Linked DNA regions of Canis lupus familiaris. The main gene of each other region encodes a partner of the protein of the gene in region 3 in a complex. Links are inferred from orthologs where the notes say so. Each region holds a gene or a part of one and is shown on either strand. Other genes may lie near its edges.

Region 1 (6,092 bases), about 38 Mb from region 3:
CGTGCATAATCATGGACTTTATACAGCACTCCCCCAACCCCTGCAAGGAGCCAAGTCCCTCCCCTCCTCCCCTGGGTCCCAGGTGCCCAGATGTCCTTTGTAGCTGGCACAAAGTGCACGGTGCAAGGGCTGAAATAATCTCTCAGCCCTTTGGAAGACCTGCTCCAAAACAGAGCCCCTCTAACATCCAGGGATTGGCCAGGTTAGCAAGGAGGCAGGACACCTGCTCACGGGAATGTTTATGCAGTCCTTAAGAGCCAGGCAACAGAGATGCCAGGGACCCCAAGGGAAGACTTATGCCGTATCAGTGAGAGAAGTATGGAGATACACAGGTTCTGTGCACAAGTTCAATCCTGGGGAGAGTCACAGGTACATGGCGAGTTTGGAAGAATAAGCACCAAAACGGACAAGCAGAGACAGGAAAGGGTGGGGACCACTGCTGAGTGGATTCTCTCACTTGGTTTTCAATCCAAATGGGGTTCCATGTAACTCAAATGTGGTTTAGGGATGTGTCCCAACACTCCTGAATAACCAGCTGTCAAGAGGCTGAGCGGCAGGGCTTGCCTTTCAGCCTCCACCGCCTCACAAAGTAACATCCGTGTTTACTATGCAGCCATGGAAAGCAGAAAGGCCTTTCCTTGGTCCTTAAATGACTTACTGGGGAGAGAAGAGCCTTGTTCCAAGCATCATGGCTTCCTCATACAGGCCTTGCCCTCTCCTGACTATGCCAGCTCACTGCCAGCCAAGGTGGAGGCCCTTTCTGGGCCCAGGGTCCAGCTGCCAGACTCCTCCACACTACATTCAAGGCTGTCTGCACTGGGCTCCCTATGGCACCCTGATTCCTTCTCGCCCAAGCCCACCCTATGTGTCTCAGCTCCTCCCCTCACATGATACTCCCTGCGTCTACTGCCCTCTCCCCTACAATGACAGTTCAACCACCTTATCCATGGGGACTTCCGGGGCCCTCCTAAACCAGAAATGATCCCTTTCCCTTGCCGTATTTCCCACAGCTTTCTGTTCACGTTGCTCAGAGTATGCTTCACCTTCTACCCCCTGGCAGTTGAGTACCTCCTTCCTACTCCATCTTAGGAGGTCCTCAGAGGCCGGGGCTATAAGCTGGGCATCCCTGGTGACCAAGAAAATGGAGGCAACATGTCCAGCCTGAGCTGGTTAATTAGTGATCTGCACAGATTTTAAAGCTAGACAAGCTTGAGCTCTAATCCTAGCTCCATTACCTGTATCTGTGCCCTTAGGCAAGTCCTATTATTTCCCAGGGCTTCACTTTTCCAATCTACAAAATGGGGATGAGACCTACCTCAAGGACTTTTGTGAGGATAAACTTCCTTAAGTCAGGCACTTAAAGAATGCCTGACTCAGCATTCAGGGAATGGAATTTAATAGCAAATTCAGGGGATCCCTGGGTGGCTGAGCGGTTTAGCACCTGCCTTTGGCCCAGGGCATGATCCTGGAATCCCAGGATCGAGTCCCATCAAGCATCGAGCTCCTTGCATGGAGCCTGCTTCTCCCTCTACCTGTGTCTCTGCCTCTCCCTCTCCCTCTCTGTCTCTCGTGAATAAATAAAATCTTAAAAAAAGGGGGATCCCTGGGTGGCTCAGCGGTTTAACGCCTGCCTTTGGCCCGGGGCGCGATCCTGGGGCCCTGGGATCAAGTCCCACATCGGCTCCCGGCATAGAGCCTGCTTCTCCCTCCTCCTGTGTCTCTGCCTCTCTCCCTCTCTCTCTCTCTCTCTCTCTCATGAATACATAATATTTTTTTTTTTTTTTAAATCTTAAAAAAAAAAAAGCAAATTCATCTTTACTGAACTGAGCTGTCTACTGACAAACACAAGAATAGGGACTTAGCTGGACCTCTGTTAAAATCCCAGCTCTGCTACTTACCAGCTAGATGACCTTGGACAAGTTAGGTCTTCCAAATCTCTTCTCCTTATTTATAAAATGGTAACATTTCTACATCCCCCCCTCAGGGATGACGTGTGATCGGAAGTGATAACAGCACAGGGAGGGACTCTGTAAATGTTAAGGCCCTTCAGAGACATCAGGAATGTGCACTGCCATGCTCCTGACAACCTGAGAACTCCAGTTTCTGAGGCAGGGCAGGTGAGCAAGCTTGCCTGCAATCCATGACAACCGGGCAAGTCCATACCAGTTTCCCTGGTTGGGCCAGAACCTCAAGAGTCCTTGCAAGTGCTGGCGTAGGTGCCTTCACTTCCAAACGTCAGGGGATTCAGGGTTGACCAGTGTTAGCCATGCTTTGGCCAGGGATGAACAGACAAGGCCTGCATTCTGCTTCCTAATTCCCTACAGTCCTGGTTCCTAGGACAAGAACATCCCTCCCTCTTCCAGGGGCATTCAGTTGCACGGACCAGACCTCCCAAGAGGGCCTTACCTCTGGGAAAGCCAACCAGTATTCCCAAAACCAGTCTGGGATCATAGTGGTAAAGGTGGGAAGTAAGAAGTCAGGGACTATACCCTGACACTGCTGTTGTGATCCTTTGTTGTTTACTATCTCCTCCCACTAAGACATAAAGTGGCCCTTTCCACCAGCCAACCTAAGCTGTCACCAGCAAGGATGGCCTCCAAAAACATGATGACTAGCAGGGAAGCCTATATATGTCCTTGTGGGCACATCTTTGAGCCTCACTCTAAAAGGGACCCAAAACTATCTCACAGAGCTACTAGGTAACAAACAACGTGATAATGTAGCTAAACAAGCTGGAACAAGAGTCATTGGCACACACTCTTTCCTCCCCTGGGCCAGCCCAAGCAGGAACTCACCATCTTCCGCAGTGTTGAGTTTGAGGCTCTTGCCCTTGAAACTCAGCTGACCCCCAGCCACCTGGGTTTTGGCAAGTGTCTCTGCTAGCTTGGCAATGTCTTCAGAGGCCATGCTGGCCACGTTGCTGGGCTCCCCCGGAAATCTGCAAACTGAGCAGGATGAAGTTTCATTAAGAGACAGGAGTCTCCTGGGGCCCCCTGGTTGGGGAGGGCCGGGTAGGACATCAGCCCTTTCAGGGGCTTAACACCCCCTCCTCCATGGAGACTCCAACAGCTAAACTACTGGGAGAAATGAAAACACTATTAGGTAAGGAACAATTCTAGAAAGGTGGAGAAAGTGGCAAGAGTAGTAAAATCATGTTTTAGCCCCTGAAGGATTACTAGCTTATTTTAACTCCTCGCCTGCCCCAATGGCCCCAGCTGGAACACCAAGCACAGCCATCTGAGCTGCCCATCTTCTGGGCTCCCAGTGAATGGTAGTTGGGCCCAGACCAACAGCTGCAATGCAAAGAGCCTACTCCAGGCACACACCTGCCTGATCATCCTGGCTGCTCTCTGTTTGAGGGTCCCATTCCTCAAACAGGACTAGGATGGCTAAGGGATCCAGGTTATCCATCCCGCGAAATGCCCCACCTCCCACGCTGGCATGTCTCTGGGGATGGGGCACAGGTGTCAGCCCACTGCCCGTCTGGTTTCAACCTTAGCCAGAAGACTGGGCAATCCATGGTGGCCAAACCTCAGGGGTTCCTAGGAGACCAGAGGTCTCTACATCACAACAGCCACCATCACAATAGACCAAGGGCAGAGCTGCTGAAGAAAGGAGCTTCTGGCCTGGAAGAACTCGGCAGATTGGCAGAAAGACCACTCCATTTCCCTAAAGAGGAAATGGCAGGTCATCAGGGGAGACCAAGGATGATGGATATGGAAGACAGAACGAGGAAGGGCCCACAAAAACTCCTTACCCAGAACATGTCCTTCCCCAATCTATTCGTCCTCAAGATACAACTGTGATGGCTCCCCAATCCTCCAACTCCCCCCAGGCTTCCTCTGGGCTCCTATAGCCAGCCTCCCACCTCCTTCTCCTTATCTTAACCCTGATCACCCTGGCTTGCCAATTTTTACAAATATGTATGAATTATTCTCCTAGATAAGAAGGCACCACTCATTCATTCAATAAACATTTATTGGGTATTACTATGTTCTGGACGTTGCTCTAGATACCAGAACCAAGCAGTGAATGAAGCAAAAATACTGCCCTCTCTCTTTTTTATAAGATTTTATTTTTATTTATTTTTTAAGATTTTATTTTTTTAAGTAATCTCTATGCCCAACATGGGTCACAAACCCACAACTCTGAGATCGAGTCACATGTTCTACCAAATGAGCTAGCTGGGCACCTCTTAAAACATGTGTTCTAAATAAGACATGTGGAATCTTATTTGTGTAAGTGATAAGAAAAACAAACGGAGAAGGGGGTAAGGAGTTTTAAGGGGGTTGCGATTTATTTATTTATAAAGATTTTATTTATTCATGAGAGACATAGAAAGAGAGGCAGAGACGTAGGCAGAGGGAGAAGCAGGCTCCCTGTGGGAAGCCTGATGTGGGACTCGATCCCAGGACGTTGGGATCCTGGCATCACGCCCTGAGCCAAAGGCAGACGCTCAACCACTGAGCCACTCAGGTGCCCCGAGGGGGTTGCGATTTAAAACAGATTGGTCCAAAAATAAATAAATAAATAAAAATAAAAATAAAAATAAAACAGATTGGTTAGAGGGGCACCTGATGGCTCAGTTGGTTAAGTGTTCAACTATTGATCTCAGCTCTGGACTTGATATCAGGGTCATAAGTTCAAGCCCCATGCTGGGCTCCAGGATGGGCATAGTACCTAGGTTAAAAACAAACAAACAGGGCAGCCAGGGTGGCTCAGGGGGTTTAGCACTGCCTTCAGCCCAGGGCATGATCCTGGGGTCCCAGGATCAAGTCCCACATTGGGCTCCCTGCATGGAGCCTGTTTATCCCTTTGCCTTGTCTCTGCCTCTCTCTCTCTCTCTCATGAATAAATAAAATCTTTAAAAAACAAACAAACAAAAAGACCCACAATAACAACAAACCAGAATGGTTAGGAAGATATTAGGAAAGAAAGACTTGGAGGTCATCAAGGATTGAGCCAGGCAGATATCTGGGGGAAGAGCATTCCTGCAAACAGAATAGCTAAAGCAAAGGCTTTCATGGGGGGAAGGAGAGATCCGAGGAACTCCAAGGAGACCAGTGGGGCTGGAGTGCAGAAGAGGAAAGGAGAAAAAAAGCAAGAAATGAGAAAAGAGAATCAGCAAGAGGCCCAAGTTGCAAAGGCCATTTAAAGAATGCAGCTTTTACTGAGTGAAAAGGAGAGCCACTGGTGGGTTTCTAGCAGAGAAGACCAGACTCTGACAGATGTTTTGACAGCAACTTAGGGCCTGACATCTAGAAGGTCCCCCAAGAATGAAGAGATGAAGCTGGGGGGGGGGGGGGACCCTAGCCTGAAACCCGGCCACCACTTGCAATTCTGGGAATGGGACAATTTTCGGCAAAAAAAAAAAAAAAAAAAAAAAAAAATGGTGGTGGGGCTCCCAGACACGTTCCTACTGGAACACACAACTCCTCTGCTGGAAAGGGGCCTATTCCTCAGTCCACTACACGCACGCACCATCCACTTTAAAGACTAGGAGGCCAAAGCACAGAGAGTACTTGAGCTGTCCAAGGTCTGCACAGGGTCAGCCGCAGAGCAAAGACAGGCAGGCGATACGCCAACAGCGCTTTCCTTTCCCGGCACCAAAGCCGCAGATTTTCTCTGGTGCACATCTCTCGCTCGTGCGAAGCGTCCGCAGCGACTCAGGCCGATCCCGCGGCCACGGCGGCAGCCCGGGCCCTCGGCGGGCGTGGGGCCACTGGGAAGCGGCGGCAGCGGAGCGACGCGCGACGCGGGCCGCAAATGACAGGCGGGAGGCGCGGGAGCCCCATCCGGGAGCCCGGGAGGCCGCGCACCGCCCCCAGTTGTCACCGACGCCAAGGAGGGACGCCAGTGCCGGCAGCTGCGCCAGACGCCCTCGCCAAGCCTCAGTTTCCCCATCTGCGAAAGGGGCCTGCGCCCCCCAGCACCTCCGCTCTCAGCCCCTCCGCGCTCAGCCGCAAGAGCGCAGGGAGAGAAGGCCCAGAAGACACCCCCCCGAAGGCGCTCAGGGGCGCCACACCTTCCCCGCCCAGCTGCAGGGCCGCGCCGCCCCCCGCCCCCCTCCCAGGCAGGTGACGGGGAAAGGA
Region 2 (6,317 bases), on a different chromosome or scaffold from region 3:
ATACAGTAAAATTTGGTTTGGAATAAAAGGAAACAAACAGCAAAGTGCAATCTACTTTAAATCTAAGAATCTTGTTCATTTGTTGAAAATGTTTAATATTTTCTGCCCTGTTGAGCATGCTGTTTGACCTATGCAGAACTAGTGAATTTTTACATAAATGCTGAAGAAGTCAAAGTCACACTTAGTCTAAACTACCTTTAAAACACAAGTCTTCCAACCAACCATTCCTTACATTTGCAATCAGCTCCATGACACTGTTCTTCAGATAGACTTTCTCCAATCGAGACATGCTGTTCCACCGAAACCTGGCCACCAAAATGCGTAAGGTCAGAGAACCACATTAGAAGTCTTCAAAAGAGACTAGCTTTGATTCTGTTATATTATGTTAGTGAACTAAAATATTATACTTCTGATTTTGTACCTTTAAAGAAAGGACAAGAACAGTCCATGTTCAACTAAAATGCTGACAACAGAAAAATTCTTGAGAAAAAGTTCTGTATAAGAAGTGGTCCACTAACTGAAATTTACAGGATTTGTACACAGATTAGCTGATTTTACTGATAGACCAAAAGCAAATATCTACCTGGGACAACTACAACAAATATAGTTGCTTTTCAGAAACTACAATGTTGGGGTGCTAGGGTGGCTTAGTCAGTAAAGCATCTGCCTTCAGCTCGGGTCATGATTCCAGCATCCTGCAATCGAGTTCTGCATCAGACTCCCTGCTCTGTGGGGAGCCTGCTTCTCCCTCTCCCCCTGCCTGCTGCTCCCTCTGCTTGTGCGCTTGCTCTGTCAAATAAAAAAATCTTAAAAAAAACAACACATTATTGATACCACTAACTTCTCTCTCTCTCTCTCTCTTTTTTTTTTTAATGTGCTGGCTTATTTATGAACAGCACAATCCCACAAAGACTGTGGCTAAGTCTTAAAGCTGACTCTTTTGGGAGATGCTAGGGGTAGAAGACTCAAGTTAGGAAGGGTTTTCAGGGATCCCTGGGTGGCGCAGTGGTTTGGCACCTGCCTTTGGCCCAGGGCGCGATCCTGGAGACCCGGGATCGAATCCCACATCGGGCCCCCGGTGCATGGAGCCTGCTTCTCCCTCTGCCTGTGTCTCTGCCTCTCTCTCTCTCTCTCTGTGACTATCATGAATAAATAAATAAAAATTAAAAAAAAAAAAAAAAAAGGAAGGGTTTTCAGTTTTTCTCATATAATTCTGCTTTGGATTTGCCATTCAGAGAAGGAACATGCTCAAACTTTAAAAAAAAATTTAAAAGCGCAATGCCTAATCAGAGATTTAATTACCTATACAAAAATAAATAAATAATTACCTATACACTCTATTATTTTAAAAAGACTCTGAGATCTGCTGGTATACAGTGGGAGCTCAATACTGATTGAACCACTATCAGCTCATATTTGTAGAATGCTTAGTATGTACTTAGTATGTATTCTACATGGATGAAGAAACTGAAGAAGAGAAAGGTTAAGTCTTGAATAAGAGTACTCTTGAGGTTATGATAATCTCTTGGGAAATCATTCCTTTCTTCTCAGTGATTGATCTTCTCTGCTCACCTAAAGATTATCTCTAGGAGTTATATAAGAAATAAAGACTTGCTCTCTCACAGACTTCAATGGTACTGTCCAAAAGCTCCTTACTTGACAACGTGTTCCAGGATTTGAAGGCCAAAATGTCTGACGATGGCAATTTGTGTTTTCTCAGCCAACCTCAAGCCACAGGGGACACAGATAGGGCACTTTTCTTTAAATTCTTCACAGAACTGCAACAACAAAAGTTAGTATTTCCCTTAGGATGCAAGAGACAGTGGGGATTAAAAAAATTTTAAAAAACTTCATCTTCTCCACCTGAGCTATATATTTAAAATGCAAAATCTAGATCAATAGTATATGAGTAAAGAACTGGGCAGCCTGGGTGGCTCAGAGGGTTGGCGCCTGCCTTTGGCCCAGGGCATGATCCTGGAGTCCAGGGATTGAGTCCCATGTCGGGCTCCCTGCCTGCAGCCTGTTTCTCCCTCTGCCTGTGTCTCCGCCTCTCCCTCTCTGTCTCTCAAGAATAAATAAATAAAATCTTAAAAAAAAAAAAAAAAAAGAACTGATAAACATTCCTTTCACTTTGATAGTTACAAATTTGCCATGCCCTGGCCAATAACATTGAAAATAGTCTGACCTATAGGAGTTAAAAATTATTTGTTAGAGATGTACTCCAGAAGTATATAGGGGTGAAATGACAACTTCTAGGATTTGATTTAAAAAAACAAAAGGGAGGAGTGGGGGTGGGAAGCAAATGTGGCAAAATTTTTATAACTCTTTAATTTAGGTGTGGGGTATATACAAGATCATTGTAGTATTATTCTCTTTACTTTTGTGTATGTCTTTAATATTTCATAACAAAAAAACAAATAGAACACAACTGTTTCTCATTCCAAATCTTGTGGCAAACACTGTATGGTGTTAAAAGTAAAGTTCCTTCCAAATGATGTTCACTGTACATTTAAATGATGTGACATCATTTAAAATTACTAAAAACTTTAAAAAATAACGTGCACAAGTGTTTTTCCTAATGGTCATTTCTCACAATCCACACACGTAGTTTGATGTGGGAATGAGTGCGCAATTTATTACCATCCCAATTTGTATTAGCATTCCCAAACTGCAATAGAAGAGTCAGTCCCAAGAGCTGAGCATGCGGACTCAAGAAAACTACTTTCAGGAAACCAAAGTGCCCTTGTTAAAATGCAAAGTAAGTGGTAGAAGTTCATCTTTGCGCAAAATAGCCTGAGAATAGAACAAGTAAAAGAACGTGGGGGGGAGGGTGTGTGAGAATGAGCCCAGAAATAACCCAAGACACAGAAGAGAATTAGTGAGAGGGGTAAGAATGTAAATAAAGTGGCACTAGCGGGGCTGGAGCTCGGCTAGGATGGGTCAGGAGGATGCAAGGAAACGTTTAATGCAGGGGAGACCGTAAAGAATGTAGCTGGTGTTGGGGACGTACGTGACGGGCACGTGCGCCACGGGAAGGCTAGGGGACGTGGGGCTTGGGGTAGTAAAATAGAAGCATCGGGCTGTGGTGTGGGTAGGACTAAAGAGAAGTGGGGAGAGGAGAAGAGAGGGCAGTAGCAAGTGGTAGTGAGAGGAGGAGCAGCAGGGAACCAGAGGGTCCCGAGAAAAGGGCAGGCGCGACTGGCAGAGAAAGCCCGAGTGAGAAGAAGCGCGGAGGGCGAGGAGGGGAAAGGCTAAGGGCCCCCGGGGGTTGCAGTGGGAGGTTCAAGGGCCGCGTGGGCGGGAGACCAGCAGGGCTTCAGGCGGCGGGGCGGGGGGGGGGGGGGGGCGCGGGGGCTAGGGGAGGATCTTGGGGCAGGCCCAGGACGCCGGACCCCTTCTACCTTGAGGGCTTCCAGCCGGTAGCGCTGGGTGGAGCTGGGGTCCATCATGACCGTCACCGCTTTCACCAGCTGCTCGCACAGCGCGTTCACTTGATCCATCGCCATGGCTAGTGCCACGCGCCGCGAGCGCGCACCACGGCCGTCCCAGGAGCACGAGGCACCGACCGCTCCCTTCGGAGGACCACAAGCTGGTACCGGGCCGCGGCGGGCTGGGGGGTGGGGAGCGGGAGGAGGAGCGTGAGCTGCAGAAGCTCCAGCCTGGAAGGAGCGGGGGCTGCGCACGCGCCCGACTCGCCACTGCGCACGCGCCCGCGGAAGTGGCGGCTCCCGTGTGACGGTTGCTCCTGGGTGGGCGGAGCGGAGAGCGGAAGGGCTGCAGTGCGCAGGCGCGCCAACGGCTCTTTTGCGGCGCGCGCGCTGTCTAATCTCAGTTCCGAGGGCTGGCTGTTGAGCGCGCAAGCCCTGGCTAGTCCGGCGGGGCGGTGCGGGCGGCTTCCCCAGCCAGGGTCGTCTGGGACCCGTGGTCCGTTTCTCCGTCATCACGGGGAATAAGTTTCTGGAAGCCGACTGGTCCTCTCCCGGAGACGGGGCAGATAGTCAAGACGCCTTCGTCTTCCTTGAGTGGACAGCGAGCCCGGCATCTCCGGCGTCCGTGCCTGGCAGTTTTTCCAGGTGACTGCCCCATTGGTAAGAGAATTTCGAACCGCTCGGCAGACTTTTCATGTTGTCTTGGCTGTTGGTTTCGTGCTGTAGCAGTGGCTGATGATGACGTTGGGCCAAAATTCGATGAAACAAACGCATGCTTACGGAGACGTAAAGGCCCGGTATGGTTCCCTGAGAGGAATTTTCTTGTGGGAAAGTGGTATTTTAGCTAGCTCTTAAACTTCCCTCTTCGCTTGTGCTTATTTTCGTTAGATGTGTTCTCGCCTGACGGGCACCAAACTTATTTGGTACAGATGGTGATAAGTCGAGATATTTGAAGATGAATAATTGCAATTATTGAAGGCTTGTGCAGTTTGCATCATTTGAAGTGCTACGTATAAGACTTCAGAGCAGTGTAATCCTTATTCGGAAAAGGGGGGGGGGTTTGGCAGCGAGTGTGTTTCATTTTTTTCCATCTTTAAAAAGCTCTTGCTTTCTCCAGCAAAATACATAAACTGAAGACTTCATCAGATTCATTTTCTGTTGAAGTTTGCATATTGGGTTTGTTTACTCAATAAAATGTTTGCTGGACTTAAATCACTGCTTCCTATTCATACTCCATTTCTGCCATTTGCATCTCGTGTGGTACTTCCCTGGTAAGTTTAGTGTATGTGTGTGAAAATGTGTTTACTATTTTTATTCTGGCATCACCATCTGTTCCAGTGCAACACAAAAGCCACTTCATGGTGAGGTGATTTCTGACATGTTATGGTTGTAACTTACAAATGTTTAAAGTTACACATTCTGCCAGTTTTCAGTGAGTGGAATTTATAAGGAATTAATACCTTGATTATTCAGATTTTTAAATTTGTTGTATTCTTTCCACTAATCTTATGTGATTTTTTTTTAAGAGTACAGTTGAGTGCTTACTCAACTGTATAACCTATGTGTCTCATATTTAAATCACCAATTACTGGTGTTTCCATAAGTATCTTATATACTTGAGGTCTATTGTTTCCAGTCTCTGCTACATATTAGAATTGCCTGGAGACCTTTTAAAAATCACAGTGCCCAGGTTGCACCCTGTTTTGTGCTAGCTCAATCTATTATCTTTAATTAATTTAAATAACATCTGAGTAATATTGATATTTGGCTTCTACCACCAGAGATCGTAATTTAATTGGTATTTGTGTGTTTTGTGCTATCTCAGCCTAGCGATGGTAATGCCATGGTTAGAAATGCTTGGGGGCACACTCACTTGGGCTCCAGTGAGCTTCCCACAGACACCTCCTCTGTCCAAACCATAACAGTGACCTTCAGGAAACTTTGAAAGAAAAAAAAAAGTTTATTCTTTACAAGCCCTGGAGATCACAAGACACAGCAGTGAGTACACAGCAAGGTTACAGGTAGTGAGGGACCAAGCTAGCACAGGCTGGGGGTTTTACTGGGGTTGAGGGTGGCCATCAAGAGTTTCATGGGTGAGCTTATTTATTTATTTTAGATTTTAATTATTTGACAGAGAAAGAGAGCACAAGCAGGGGTAGTAGCAGAGGGAAAAGGAGAAGCAGGCTCTCTGCTGAGTAGGGAGCCTGATGTGGGACTGTCCCAGGATCCTGGGATCATGACCTGAGCAAAGGCAAACACTTGACTGAGCCATCCAGGTGCCTCTTCGTGGGTAAATTTAAAAAATAAGAGCAGGAGGGGCACCTGGGTGTTCAGTCGGTTAAATATCTGCCTTCAGTTCAGGTCATGATATTGGGATTCTGGGATCTAGCCCTGAGTCTGACTCCCTGCACAGCGGGGAGTCCGCTTCTCCCTCTCTTGTCCGCTTCCCTCCTGACTGCCTTCTCCCGCTCATGCTCTCTCTCAAATAAAATTAAAAATAAAATTTTAAATTAAAAAACAGCAGGAATTTAAAGTATAGGAAGAGAGAAAAAGGAAAACAAAAAGCCCAAGCACCCAAAAATGGCCAGTTATTGAAATCAACCAAGAACTCTAAAACAAAGCAGTCTCAGGTTGGGGAGGCAGCCTGGCACTTTATATAGTCTTTATATAAAGTGTATATACACTATATAAAGTCTTTATATAGTGTGTGTGTGTGTATATATATATATATATACACACACAAATGGCTGTGTTTATTCAAGATAGTCATCTTTGAAGTGGATGCCTCAGCAATCCAAGCTTAAATCAGGCATCTGCATTATGAAATAGGGATGGGGGGAACAACTGTGAGAGTTTACACAACAATCTACCCTGTGATGCCAGAGTCAG
Region 3 (5,604 bases):
TTTAATAAAAAAGAAAAAGTAAATCCTAATTTAGTATAAAGCTTTGGAATTGTTAATGGGCCCCATCCAGTGTATGTAAGATATTGGTTTCCTGATCAGCAAACCTGAAATCAACACAATTTGCCTCTCATGGAAGATGTAATTACCACTGATTACACAAATGAATTACTAAAAATAAGGACTACAAGGTCCCATTATAAGGAGTCAAAACCCATAAAGAACATATTTTCAAGTTACTCTTAAGAAAATTACTACCATGTTATGATTCTGACTTCAAGATCACAAATATAGATCCGAGAATTTTTAGCTACTGTGTAAATTTGTGGACTTAGATCTACATTTTCCTATCTTACTTAATACATTTCCCCATTTCTTGTGTGTGTGTATATATATACACATATACATTACTGAATATAGTTTTTATGTAAATTTACTATTTTGCAGTTAAGATTGTTTTAAGATTTGAGGGAGTACATGTGAATTGGGGGGAGGACCAAAGGGAGAGAATCTTCAACAGACTCCTTGCTGAGTGTGGAGACTAGACTTGGTGTGTTACCTCACCATTCTGAATTCAAGATCAAGATCAAGCGGAGACCAAGAGCAGAAGCTCAATCAACTGAGCCATCCAAATGGCCAAAGATCTTTTTAATAGTAAATACATTTTTTTAAAGATTGTATTTATTTATTCATGACAGAGAGAGAAAAAGAGAGAGAAAGGGGGGCAGAGGGAGAAGCAGTCTCCACACAGGGAGCCTGACGTGGGACTCGATCCTGGGTCTCCAGATCATACCCCAGGCCGAAGGTGGCGCTAAACCACTGGGCCTCCAGGGCTGCCCAATAGTTAATATTTTTAAAAGTACTTCTCTGGTCTAAATGTTCAAATATTTAAACTAGTTAATCCCATAGCTATCATTTATGCTTTCAAGTCTTACAAGGATACATAATGCAGAATTTCCCATACTGAAATGTAAACCACATACCTTATTTATCATATTCAATGTGCATTCAAAAACAGCATCAAATATTTGAGGTATTTCAGCTGTTATATGTCCTCCTAACTTGTTGACAATAATAGCCATAGTACTAAGCACTTCTGGTTCTCTAGCAGCTGGTACATTTCTCTGATAATCAATGAGAACTGCATCCAATAAAGGAGGAACAAAATTTTCAGCTACCTGTTAAAAAAAAAAAAAAACTTTACCCAAGTTTTTTATTTATTTTTTTTTTAAATTTTTATTTATTTATGATAGTCACACAGAGAGAAAGAGAGGCAGAGACACAGGCAGAGGGAGAAGCAGGCTCCATGCACCAGGAGCCCGATGTGGGACTCGATCCCGGGTCTCCAGGATCGCGCCCTGGGCCAAAGGCAGGCGCCAAACCGCTGCGCCACCCAGAGATCCCCCAAGTTTTATCCTATGCACTTGCTTACCATCATAAACAGCTAGGTCAATGTTATATTGAAATTTAGGTTGAATATCTGCTTAAAACTGGAAAATCCCACGTTTTATTTTTTTATTTTTATTTTTTTTTAATGATAGGCACACAGTGAGAGAGAGAGAGAGGCAGAGACACAGGCAGAGGGAGAAGCAGGCTCCATGCACCGGGAGCCCGATGTGGGATTCGATCCCGGGTCTCCAGGATCGCGCCCTGGGCCAAAGGCAGGCGCCAAACCGCTGCGCCACCCAGGGATCCCCCACGTTTTATTTTTAAAAAAAAAATTTAAAGGTTGTTTATTTGACAGAATGAGAGCAACAGGCCGCCCACTGAGCAGGGAGCCCAATGTGGGGACTCAATCACAAACCTTGGGATTCTGACCTGAGCCAAACGCAGTTGCTGGACCAACTACCTGAGCCACCAAGTACCCCTAGAAAATCCCGTTTTTTAATTTGGTTTTGGACATTAAGACTTTTTACCAAAAGAAACCAAGGAATTATAATAGGCTGGGAAGAGCCACAGATATATTGATATTTCAAATCTAATTGCTAAGGTTAAACTAAGGCCCAAAATGAAGTTACTGGCTACACGTTACTATGGCAGGGCCAGGATTTTAGGGATATGTTATATGGGATAACTTACCTAAAAGAAAAGAAAAGCCCTCCTAATCAATACTGCATTAATTTTGTCAATGAATATCTATAAAAACCAAGCAGCGCATATCTAATACAAAGTAGACATCCATTCAATGATTTTTATTAAACTTAGTGAATGCTAACTGGTAAATACTTTAATAAACAAAACCCAAAGCCACCACTTACTCTTGTAAAAGGAATTAGAACTGTACCAGGAAGACATGAGTCTCAGTAAACAGGGTCATATTAAGGTGTAGCTTTATGTGTCTTTAATAGGTTCTTTATTACCATATGGACAATAAACAGTGTTTCTTGTAACAAGGTCACTAGTGTTAGTAGTGTCCTACTTACTATATATAATACAAGTCTAGTAAAATTTTAAGGATAAGCACAATTATTTTTCCAATAACCCACTTGATATCTTAGACCAGAACTGTTCTCATTTTACTTTTAACACTTCAGTAATTCTTTCCTAACAAGATGGATCTTAAGTGTGTTTATTTTTTTTAAAAAAAGATTTTTTTTTTTTATTCATGAGAGACGCAGAGACACAGGCAGAGGGAGAAGCAGGCTCCATATGCAGGGAGCCTGGTGTGGGACTCAATCCCGGGTCTCCAGGATCAGGCCCTGGGCTGAAGGCAGGCGCCAAACGGCTGAGCCACCCAGGCATCCCTGTTTTTGAGTATTTTTTTAATTCACCGCCCCATTCAATACAAATCTTGGTTGTAAATTGATACCCTCTCATTATTATCACTGATACTCCTAAAATTTGCCCAAGCTACTCTAAATTGTGAATTTCACATTCCTTTAATTCATCTTATCTTTGTCCAGTTTTTTTTTTTAAGACTTTATTTATTTATTCATAGAGACAGAGAGAGAGGCAGAGAGAGAAACAGGCACCATGCAAAGAGCCTGATACGGAACTTGATCCAGGGTCTCCAGGATCACGCCCTGGGCTGCAGGCGGCGCTAAACCGCTGCGCCACTGGGGCTGCCCTCCAGTTTTATTTCTTAAAAAAGATTTTATTGATTTATTCATGAGACACACAGAGAGGCAGAGACATATAGGGAGAGAGAAACAGGCTCCACACAGGGAGCCTGATGTGGGACTTGATCTCAGGATTCCAGGATCATGCCCTGGGCCAAAGGCAGGCACTCAACTGCTGAGCCACCCAGGCGTCCCCTCTTGTCCAATTTTAAATACATTTCTGATCTCATAATACACTAGTTTAAAATCTTTCAACATTTATTATCTTGAGAATTCCACAACTGTCTTCTGAACAAGTTCCCTGAAAAATATCTCATTTGTTGGAACAAACGCAACAGCACACTTGTCAACCAAAGATTAACGTGATAGATTCTTTGTAATGTTCAAGGATCAAGACAATCAGTGGTAGAATAAATCAAAAATACACGCTTTAAAAAATAATAACCCACATTTTCCCATGTTAAGGCATATATGGAGTATGGTTGAGTTTCTGAAACCATTTTCTTTTCTGGAAATGATTAAAAACTTAAAAAAAATTAAGAGTAAAAGAGATTTCTAAGCATTCCACTGGGAAAGCCCTTACTCTCACTTCAGAGTCAAATTAATGACAGCTTTGTAAACTGCTCTGAAGAATCATGAAGAAACAAAAAAATTTCTCCCAAATGTCTACCTATCCACAGGGGGTGAAAAATGACCCAAGCTATCTTATTAAATATCACCTTGTTAGTGTCCTCCACAAACAGCAATTTCTTAGGAATATGGTACATAATATTTTCAAGCATTCAAGGACTCAAAAAATAGGTCATTGTAAAATAAGCCCAAATATTTCCCTCGAAATTACCTTTAAATGAGCTATGTGCATAGACCAGAGAATACAGCATCAACTTAAAAAGCAAAACATTTCACTTACCATCTGTGGATCATTGGACCGGCTCACCCAACCGGATATTAACTTTAAAGTTTCCCTTTTTACCGTTCGCATACTTCTAATCAATGGTTGCTTTGTAACCATCTCGCCTAAAAAATACAATCCAGTGAAATCTAACTTGACAACTACAACTCTACATTGGCAGTTACATGTACTTCAGATATAATAGCTCCCATTTACCACCCAAAGGCATAAAGGCAACGGGCACACAGATGAATGTACTGGGAAAATAAACGAAGACTAATTTTAGAAGGAAAAGGTATATGCAACTAGTTAAAAATAATTGTCATTTGGAACATTGGGAGAGTTAACTTAAATCTTTGAGAAATGAACATTGAATGTAAAAAAAAATTTTTTTTAAGATTTTGTTTATTCATGAGAGAGAGAGAGAGAGAGAGAGGCAGAGACATAGGGAGAGGGAGAAGCAGGCTCCGTACAGGGAGCCTGACGTGGGACTAGATCCCGGGACTCCAAGATCAGGCCCTGGGCTGAAGGCGGCGTTAAACCCAAGCCACCAGGCTGCCCAAGACTGAATGTAAAATTGATTTGCTATTCACCAATTCCACAAAAATTCAGAATCACTTACCATTAGCTTGGATAGCTGCTGAAATATTTTCACTGAGGCACTTGTATACATTAAGCATATCTAAATAAATTCTCCCAAGTTGAATTACAAAGGGGTGTCCGACAGCTTTGCAGGCTCTAACATTTGTTTTCAATATGCTACCAAGCTGCTTGACAGTTTCTGGATCTTTAAGTATATCCACATTCTGTGAAGGACAAGTAATAAATTTCATTTATCACATGAAAATTTAAAGCAAAAAATACTACCCACACCTATTCCAAAATCACTACCACATTTACAATGCAAAATAGGGAAACACAGAAATCTTTATTACCTGTAGCTACAACTATGAATAGATTAACATTCCCAATATACCATCAAATCAGAAAAAAATGACAGTATAGTTTTTGTTACTTTTGAAAATAACACGATCTTCTTGAATTCCATTTGAACTTTGATAAAAAGGAGTAGAACTTACTTTGGTTGCCTGCTGGATTATGCTATCCCAAACCTGATTAGGGAGTAGCATGTATTTTTCTATCAAATGTTCTTGTACTGTTTGGTCTGTTTGTGCACCAATCATGTACCCCACAGCTTCATAAAATGTATGGACCTATGTAAAATGGCAGACATTTTATGTTTATGCATCATAAGGATAACCACAAACAACCAACTTACATATGTATTAGACCTTCTTTTTTGAGTCTGAGAAACAACTTACATTAGGTAAGAAAATAGCCTAATAAACTTCTGGCTAAATTTTTGTCCTACAATGAAAACTTAATGACTCCAGCAGAGATGTGGGTTGGGGAGATAGGTGATATAGGTGATAGGGAGTAAGTAGTGCACTGGGTAATACATGGAATTGCTGAATCACTATATTGTACACACATAACTAATATAATACTGTATGTTAACTATACTGGAATTTAAAAAAATTTAACCATAGATGTATGTTGAATGAATCCAATGGTGTTACTCTATTGCCATTTATGAATTCTGAGTAAAATACTAGTCATGAGGTGCCTGGGTGGCACAGTCAGTTAAGCATTCAA
Region 4 (5,604 bases), on a different chromosome or scaffold from region 3:
GGTATAAAAATTCACAGTAACATACATTATTTTTGTTTCTCATAAGCAATCAAAGAAGGGGGCAGTGCTGAGCATCTATTATACAATACAAAACAGTGTAAATAACACAGCAGGAACACACAGATACATAATGCTAAAAAACAGTGCTTTCTGGATGGTTCTTTTACTGGGTGAATACTTGGACCAGAGATATTTAAACTCTGGGGTTCAACCAACCTTTTGCAATTAGACACAATTAAATCCTCTGACATTGTGAGGGGCCAGATGCTACAGGAAGAATCATCATCTAGGTCAGTGCTACTCTCTACAAGCATTTTGTCATATGGTCAAGTGAAAAGATCCATACAAAAATGACATCCAAACACAAGCCACATGATTTCAACCATTGCTAATGACAGAGGTAGAGAAAAGTCTGTCTGCAGCCACAACCTCTGCCCCCATTTTTAACATGATAATGAGCAGATTCCTACAATGCAGCACAGCTATATTTCCCCCCCCTTTTTCACTCATGGAAACAAATGCATTCCAGCCAGGCCTGGAGATTTGAGACATTGTCAGATGTTGCTGAAGTTATCAAAGTGGGCTTTAGCTTTCAGATTTTGCTGCTTCTCCCTGGGCTTCCCCACTTTGTTCTGTGGAACTTCGTTGTGCATCTTCTTCACCTTCTGTAAGAGACAATGAGAAAAAGATAAAGGCAAAGTAAAAACTATTGTCTATATTTACTGACTCTTAAGATATCATATTGGGAATTTAAGAGATACTCAAAAAGTCTGAAGTTCTCATAGAGACAAGTGTATTTTATTGATAATCAATTCTTCAATTAGTGTTTCAAAGGCTGGCTAATTCTGGTTCTGTGAACTAGGGACAGCATAGCTCAAAAACAAAATAATAATTTATACAGTGCTTAGTGATCACCTATGCTTTTGATAAATAGCTAGGAAATCTCAAGGCCAGGTTTTGACACTTAGAGTTTCACAGGTTGCAGAAATTGAAAGTGATTTTAGGCAGAAATCAGAATGGGAAGCAAGTTTACTATTTCACTCCTGTCTTATTTTAAGAAATATTTAAAATTGCATTTTACATTATTTATATTACTTGTCGAGAACCCACCTGCTTTCTCAGATGTTTCGTTACTTTACCCTGGGTGGCTCTGCGGTTTAGCGCTGCCTTCAGCCCAGGGTATGGTCCTGGAGACCCGGGATCTAGTCCTATATCAGGCTCCCTGCGTGGAGCCTGCTTCTCTCTCTGCCTGTGTCTCTGCTTCTCTCTCTCTGTGTGTTTCTCATGAATAAATAAATAAAATCTTAAAAAAAATTAAAAGCAACAGTACAAGATGAAGGGACATTATGTTAGCTCATGGGTCTCTGGCCAGTAGTTATGGCCTCCAGTCTGCCCTTGAAGAACATAAACTATATCAATATTTGCTGAGTGTTTGTTACCATAATTCAAATAGATAGAGGTGAGTAGGCTGTTCCATTCTTTAAATGGATGTGTTAAGAGGCAATTTCTCCTTTATTCTTAATGAGTATACACAAAACATTTCACCAGATACTATACTTTAAGGAAATTAAAGGCAGTTCTACATAAATATACATATTCTGTTCCTAAAGGGGTTTTCAGAGTATAACCAGGCATTATATATCATGTTCACAAACTACTTTCATTATTACAGCAATGAATAGCCTCCCAAAATGTGTAGATGGCCTGAATCTGAAATGTGTAGATTAGCATACAACAAAAACTTGATAAATATGAAAAGCTCTTGGTAACCAAAAGAATGAAGTCAAATTAGGGCAGATACAAGACAGAAGAATATTTAAGGATGAAACTGACTGCATAAATACAAGATGAGGAATTTGACTTCCATGGAGCTTGGAACTTTCTAGGTGTCTGAGAACTCTTCTCACAGCTTAGCATAATGCTGCAGTCACAGATTCGTGGCTAAATAGGTGCTTGTTAGAAAGTTGAAATAAACATGGGACAGCAATATTGTTGAGTATAAACTAAAAAGAAGTTGAAACACTCAAGAATTATAGAAGTCCCTCATAATATTCAGCCATTGATATTGCATTTGTCATTATATATTTGTCATAATTGCAGTTACTATATTTAGTTCTTTGTACTTAGAATAATAAAAAAGTTACTACTGTTTATATTTTGCCTGTTGCTGGACTTTAGGATTTGAAGAGAAACAAAAATTTTTAGGAGCCTGGAGAATAGTAATTAAAATATAGAAATGTTTAGAAAAGAAGACATTTGATAGCATAAAGATATTTTAATTAATTTAACTTGTTTAATAATACTGCTAATATAAAATATAATTATTTTATTATATTTATTAATATGAAATGAATTTATTTCACTTGTTATATAATTTAATATATTCTCTTGTATAAGCTAGGTCTTAATGCTGATGAGTCTTAATTTCAGCGAAGACTGAAGAGGAAGAAATAGAACTGCTCTATCAATAATATTAGAGGTGTCTAAAATTAATGCAGATTATTTAAAATAGAATATTATTTACAAATAAAAATATAAATCTCATAAAAGAAATTAGCAAACTCTCAAAGACCACAGAAAAAATTTTACTTACTTCATGCAACCAAATTGCAATAATTCCCTAAGTCCTTTCTGACAGCTGCTTTCCTAAGTAACTTCTAGTAGTAAATAACAGAGAAACAACCAAACCTAAAGTATGCATAAGCCTGTATATTTCCAAGGTGGTGGTAGTAAAGTTTTATTTTCAATTTGAATTTGAAAAGACCAATCTGTGACCTGCTGACCCTTAGCCATTGAATAAAGTACTATCCCTAGGTATTTTAGGGTAATGTTGTTTAGCTGTTTCATTAACATAAAACTCTGACTCCGTTTTCCAATAACCAGAAAGCTTTACCATCATAAAAATTCTAATAGCAAAGAAGTACTGAGTGGTTACCATGAGTCAGAAACTCCTAAGTGCTTTTCATGTACACAACTTTGTGGTTCCTCTGTGGTAAACTCCTTTTTTTCACTTTTAAAGGTTATTTTTACACAAGATTTGTTAGGGAAAGACATCCAGTTTTAAATCTTGCAAAAGCTATGAATGAAAGAACTATTGGGATTTATTGAAATACTCAGAAATACTTTGATATTACAAACTTGTTTTACTTTTTCATTGGTAAAGTCTGATTACTTAGGTAGGAAGAGTGCAAGGCCCAATAATAAGACAAATTTTCCACACACTAGTTCTATCATGAAAAGAAAACTGTAAGACCTTTTTACCAAAGACACTGATGTAATTTTACTTCCATTTTTCAATAGAATTGGTCCCAGAGACGCTGTGCCTTTGAAATGGTTATTGAAATATTACAGATGGCCGATATTGAAGGGCTCCAATTTTGTTAAATATTCTATATAGAAATTTCAGAGCTTTTATAGAGATTAGGATTTTTTTAAAAAACCTATGTGTTTTATTGATTGCATTACCAAAATAAGATTAAGGATTCTGCATTTGAGTGGGAAACCCTATAAAGAAGAGTCATTGAAAATGGAGTATGAGTGATTAAGAGATTAGTCCCTGACTTATCTTCCTTAGACTGTTTATAACTCTACTAAATTACTTTCAAAGGTGATTTTTCATGTTTTAATCCTACTTAGTGAAATGCTACAAATCATCCCATGTTCAGAGAGAGATGTGTGTCAAGCAACTCACCTGTCTTGTTGATATCAAGACCTGCTAATTTCAAGGCTAATTCATTGCTGTTGCCACTTGCAGAGGAAACCAGGATATCATGTATTGCATTTCTTCTACCTGTTCTTCCTGAAGCAATGAAATCTGCATATGTAGTTTCCACATCAGTCATTGCTAACAAATATCCACATAGCAGGGACTACAAAACAAAGAAAAACTAATATAAGGTTGGTGAATGGTAACATTTAACAAAGACACTTATTAAATTATTGGCCTACAATCTGAACGTGAAATAATGGTCTTGCTTAGGTGTCCACAGAGCAAGTAATGCTTTAATCCTTGATCAAACATCAGGGAATTTTTTTCTGTAAAGGCCTGATGGTAAATAAATTAGGCTTTGAGGGCTAAATGGTCTCTATTCCAGCTACTCAGTTTTGTGGTTGTAGTGCAAAAGTAGTTAAAGTAATTACATTAAATGTCAAACAAACTGTATTTGCAAAAATAATAATAGGATCAGATTTGGCCTGAATACCATAATTTGTGGACACCTGGTTTAGATCATAAAATTCTCCTTCTCTAATACTATTTCAGTCAGTCTTCAAAGGCAGAAAGAAGAACCTGAGATCAGTAGCATACCAAGGTTGGGAGCAGAATGGAAGTGGTCCATCCTAGAGATAAGCAGAATGCAAGTACATTGTCTGCAGAGTCTAATAATGAAATTAACCAAAATTCAGTTTGCTTTTTATCATCACCATGTGCAAGCAATTCTAAGCAATGTCAGTGACCAAATAACTGCTCCAAGTCCAGGAGGATGGCTCCCTTTGGCCCCCTAGTTAAGTCATTGCTTGAGAGGAATAACAATCTTTCTTGACTGAATCTTTGAAATAAAATGTTCAAGTTTAAAAAGGAGTCAATGAGGGGTGCCTGGGTGGCTTAATCGGTTAAATCACACTCTTGATTTCAGCTCAGGTCATGATTTCAGGGTTGTGAGATCAACCCCAGTGTGAAGCCTGTTTAAGATTCTTTTTCTCCCTCTCCCTCTGCCCCTCCCACCCTAAAAAAAAAAAAAAAAAAGCCAATGAAAGTGACTTTTCCAAACTTGTAATATATATGCTTAAAGACTCAATGAAATAAAATATTTTCAAGGTACTTTTTTAAAACGATTTTATTTATTTATTTATTCATGAGGCACACAGAGAGAAAGAGAGAGAGAGAGTCAGAGACATAGGCCTGGGGAGAAGTAGGTTCCCTGCAGGGAGCCCGATGTGGGACTCAATCCCAGGACCCCAGGATCACAACCTGAGCCAAAGGCAGACACTCAACCACTGAACCACCCAGGTGTCCCTCAGGGTAAAATATGATATATGCATTAACAAAAAACTACCAAAACCAAATCTTTAGTTTTTTTCTGTTTAAATTTATGTTCTTCCCTAAAAATCAAAAGAAAGATGGATAGAAGAAATAATAAATTTCTGTTGTATTGTCTAAACATAATTTTAAAGTGAAATCATTTCCCTCCTATTCCAATTACATTTTTTATAGTTTAAGATTAAGAACATATCAATAATCAAGAGAAAGGAATCTTTTCAAAAGATAAGAAATATGGGCAGCCTGGGTGGCTCAGCGGTTTAGCGCTGCCTTCATCCCAGGGTGTGATCCTGGGATCGAGTCCCACATCGGGCTTCCTGCATGGAGCCTGCTTCTCCCTCTGCCTGTGTCTCTGCCTCTCTCTCTCTTTGTCTCTCATGAATAAATAAATAAAATCTTTTCAAAAAAAGATAAGAAATACGGGGGAAGTAAAAGTTGGAACCCATACATCATCATGGCATGCACACACTCTGAAATAACTTGATGCCATCTACACTGCAATTTAGGAAAGCAGTCAGTAGCACATTCTTTTAGACTTAGTTCCCCCAATGCATAATTGATGAGGG

Evidence for each region.
Region 1: the proteins of XPO1 (region 3) and RANGAP1 are in contact, whole or in part, in a cryo-EM structure (PDB 9B62), measured with the Homo sapiens proteins. The link is inferred for Canis lupus familiaris from reciprocal best matches to the Homo sapiens genes XPO1 and RANGAP1. Residues at the interface, in NP_003391.1 of Homo sapiens: Lys245, Ser248, Thr249, Tyr252, Lys253, Glu281, Gln282, Val284, Thr285, Leu289, Met292, Gln293, Gln296, Arg340, Asn342, Leu343, Lys514, Val518, Ile521, Lys522, Leu525, Glu529, Arg532, Lys534, Lys537, Ala538, Ala541, Met545, Phe554, His558; in NP_001265580.1 of Homo sapiens: Ala2, Asp5, Ile6, Leu9, Ala10, Thr12, Leu13, Ala14, Thr16, Gln17, Val18, Ala19, Gln22, Leu23, Ser24, Phe25, Lys28, Glu44, Arg55, Ala561, Thr564, Lys565, Pro566, Ser568, Glu571, Ser572, Ser574, Phe575, Arg577, His578.
Region 2: XPO1 (region 3) and XPO5 share a complex: the UniProt entries of both Homo sapiens proteins name them as parts of the nuclear export receptor complex. The link is inferred for Canis lupus familiaris from reciprocal best matches to the Homo sapiens genes XPO1 and XPO5.
Region 4: the proteins of XPO1 (region 3) and PKIA are in contact, whole or in part, in an NMR structure (PDB 2L1L), measured with the Homo sapiens proteins. The link is inferred for Canis lupus familiaris from reciprocal best matches to the Homo sapiens genes XPO1 and PKIA. Residues at the interface, in NP_003391.1 of Homo sapiens: Val518, Lys522, Leu525, Cys528, Glu529, Lys534, Lys537, Ala538, Ala541, Ile544, Phe554, His558, Lys560, Phe561, Thr564, Lys568, Phe572, Glu575, Thr576, Val580; in NP_006814.1 of Homo sapiens: Asn36, Leu38, Ala39, Lys41, Leu42, Ala43, Gly44, Leu45, Asp46, Ile47, Asn48, Glu51.

The regions. Positions count from the first base shown.
Region 1 is NC_049231.1:24,910,388-24,916,479, reverse strand, and holds the start of RANGAP1 (ran GTPase-activating protein 1), read right to left. Parts: upstream 3,522-6,092; 5' UTR 3,412-3,521; coding exon 3,327-3,411; intron 2,946-3,326; coding exon 2,796-2,945; intron 1-2,795. UniProt on the Homo sapiens protein: GTPase activator for RAN. Converts cytoplasmic GTP-bound RAN to GDP-bound RAN, which is essential for RAN-mediated nuclear import and export. Mediates dissociation of cargo from nuclear export complexes containing XPO1, RAN and RANBP2 after nuclear export.
Region 2 is NC_049233.1:12,220,343-12,226,659, forward strand, and holds the start of XPO5 (exportin-5), read right to left. Parts: upstream 3,695-6,317; 5' UTR 3,507-3,694; coding exon 3,402-3,506; intron 1,779-3,401; coding exon 1,657-1,778; intron 306-1,656; coding exon 233-305; intron 1-232. UniProt on the Homo sapiens protein: Mediates the nuclear export of proteins bearing a double-stranded RNA binding domain (dsRBD) and double-stranded RNAs (cargos). XPO5 in the nucleus binds cooperatively to the RNA and to the GTPase Ran in its active GTP-bound form.
Region 3 is NC_049231.1:62,837,628-62,843,231, forward strand, and holds part of XPO1 (exportin-1), read right to left. Parts: intron 5,163-5,604; coding exon 5,028-5,162; intron 4,755-5,027; coding exon 4,571-4,754; intron 4,074-4,570; coding exon 3,967-4,073; intron 1,176-3,966; coding exon 981-1,175; intron 1-980. UniProt on the Homo sapiens protein: Mediates the nuclear export of cellular proteins (cargos) bearing a leucine-rich nuclear export signal (NES) and of RNAs.
Region 4 is NC_049250.1:26,826,908-26,832,511, reverse strand, and holds part of PKIA (cAMP-dependent protein kinase inhibitor alpha), read right to left. Parts: intron 3,870-5,604; coding exon 3,692-3,869; intron 666-3,691; coding exon 586-665; 3' UTR 1-585. UniProt on the Homo sapiens protein: Extremely potent competitive inhibitor of cAMP-dependent protein kinase activity, this protein interacts with the catalytic subunit of the enzyme after the cAMP-induced dissociation of its regulatory chains.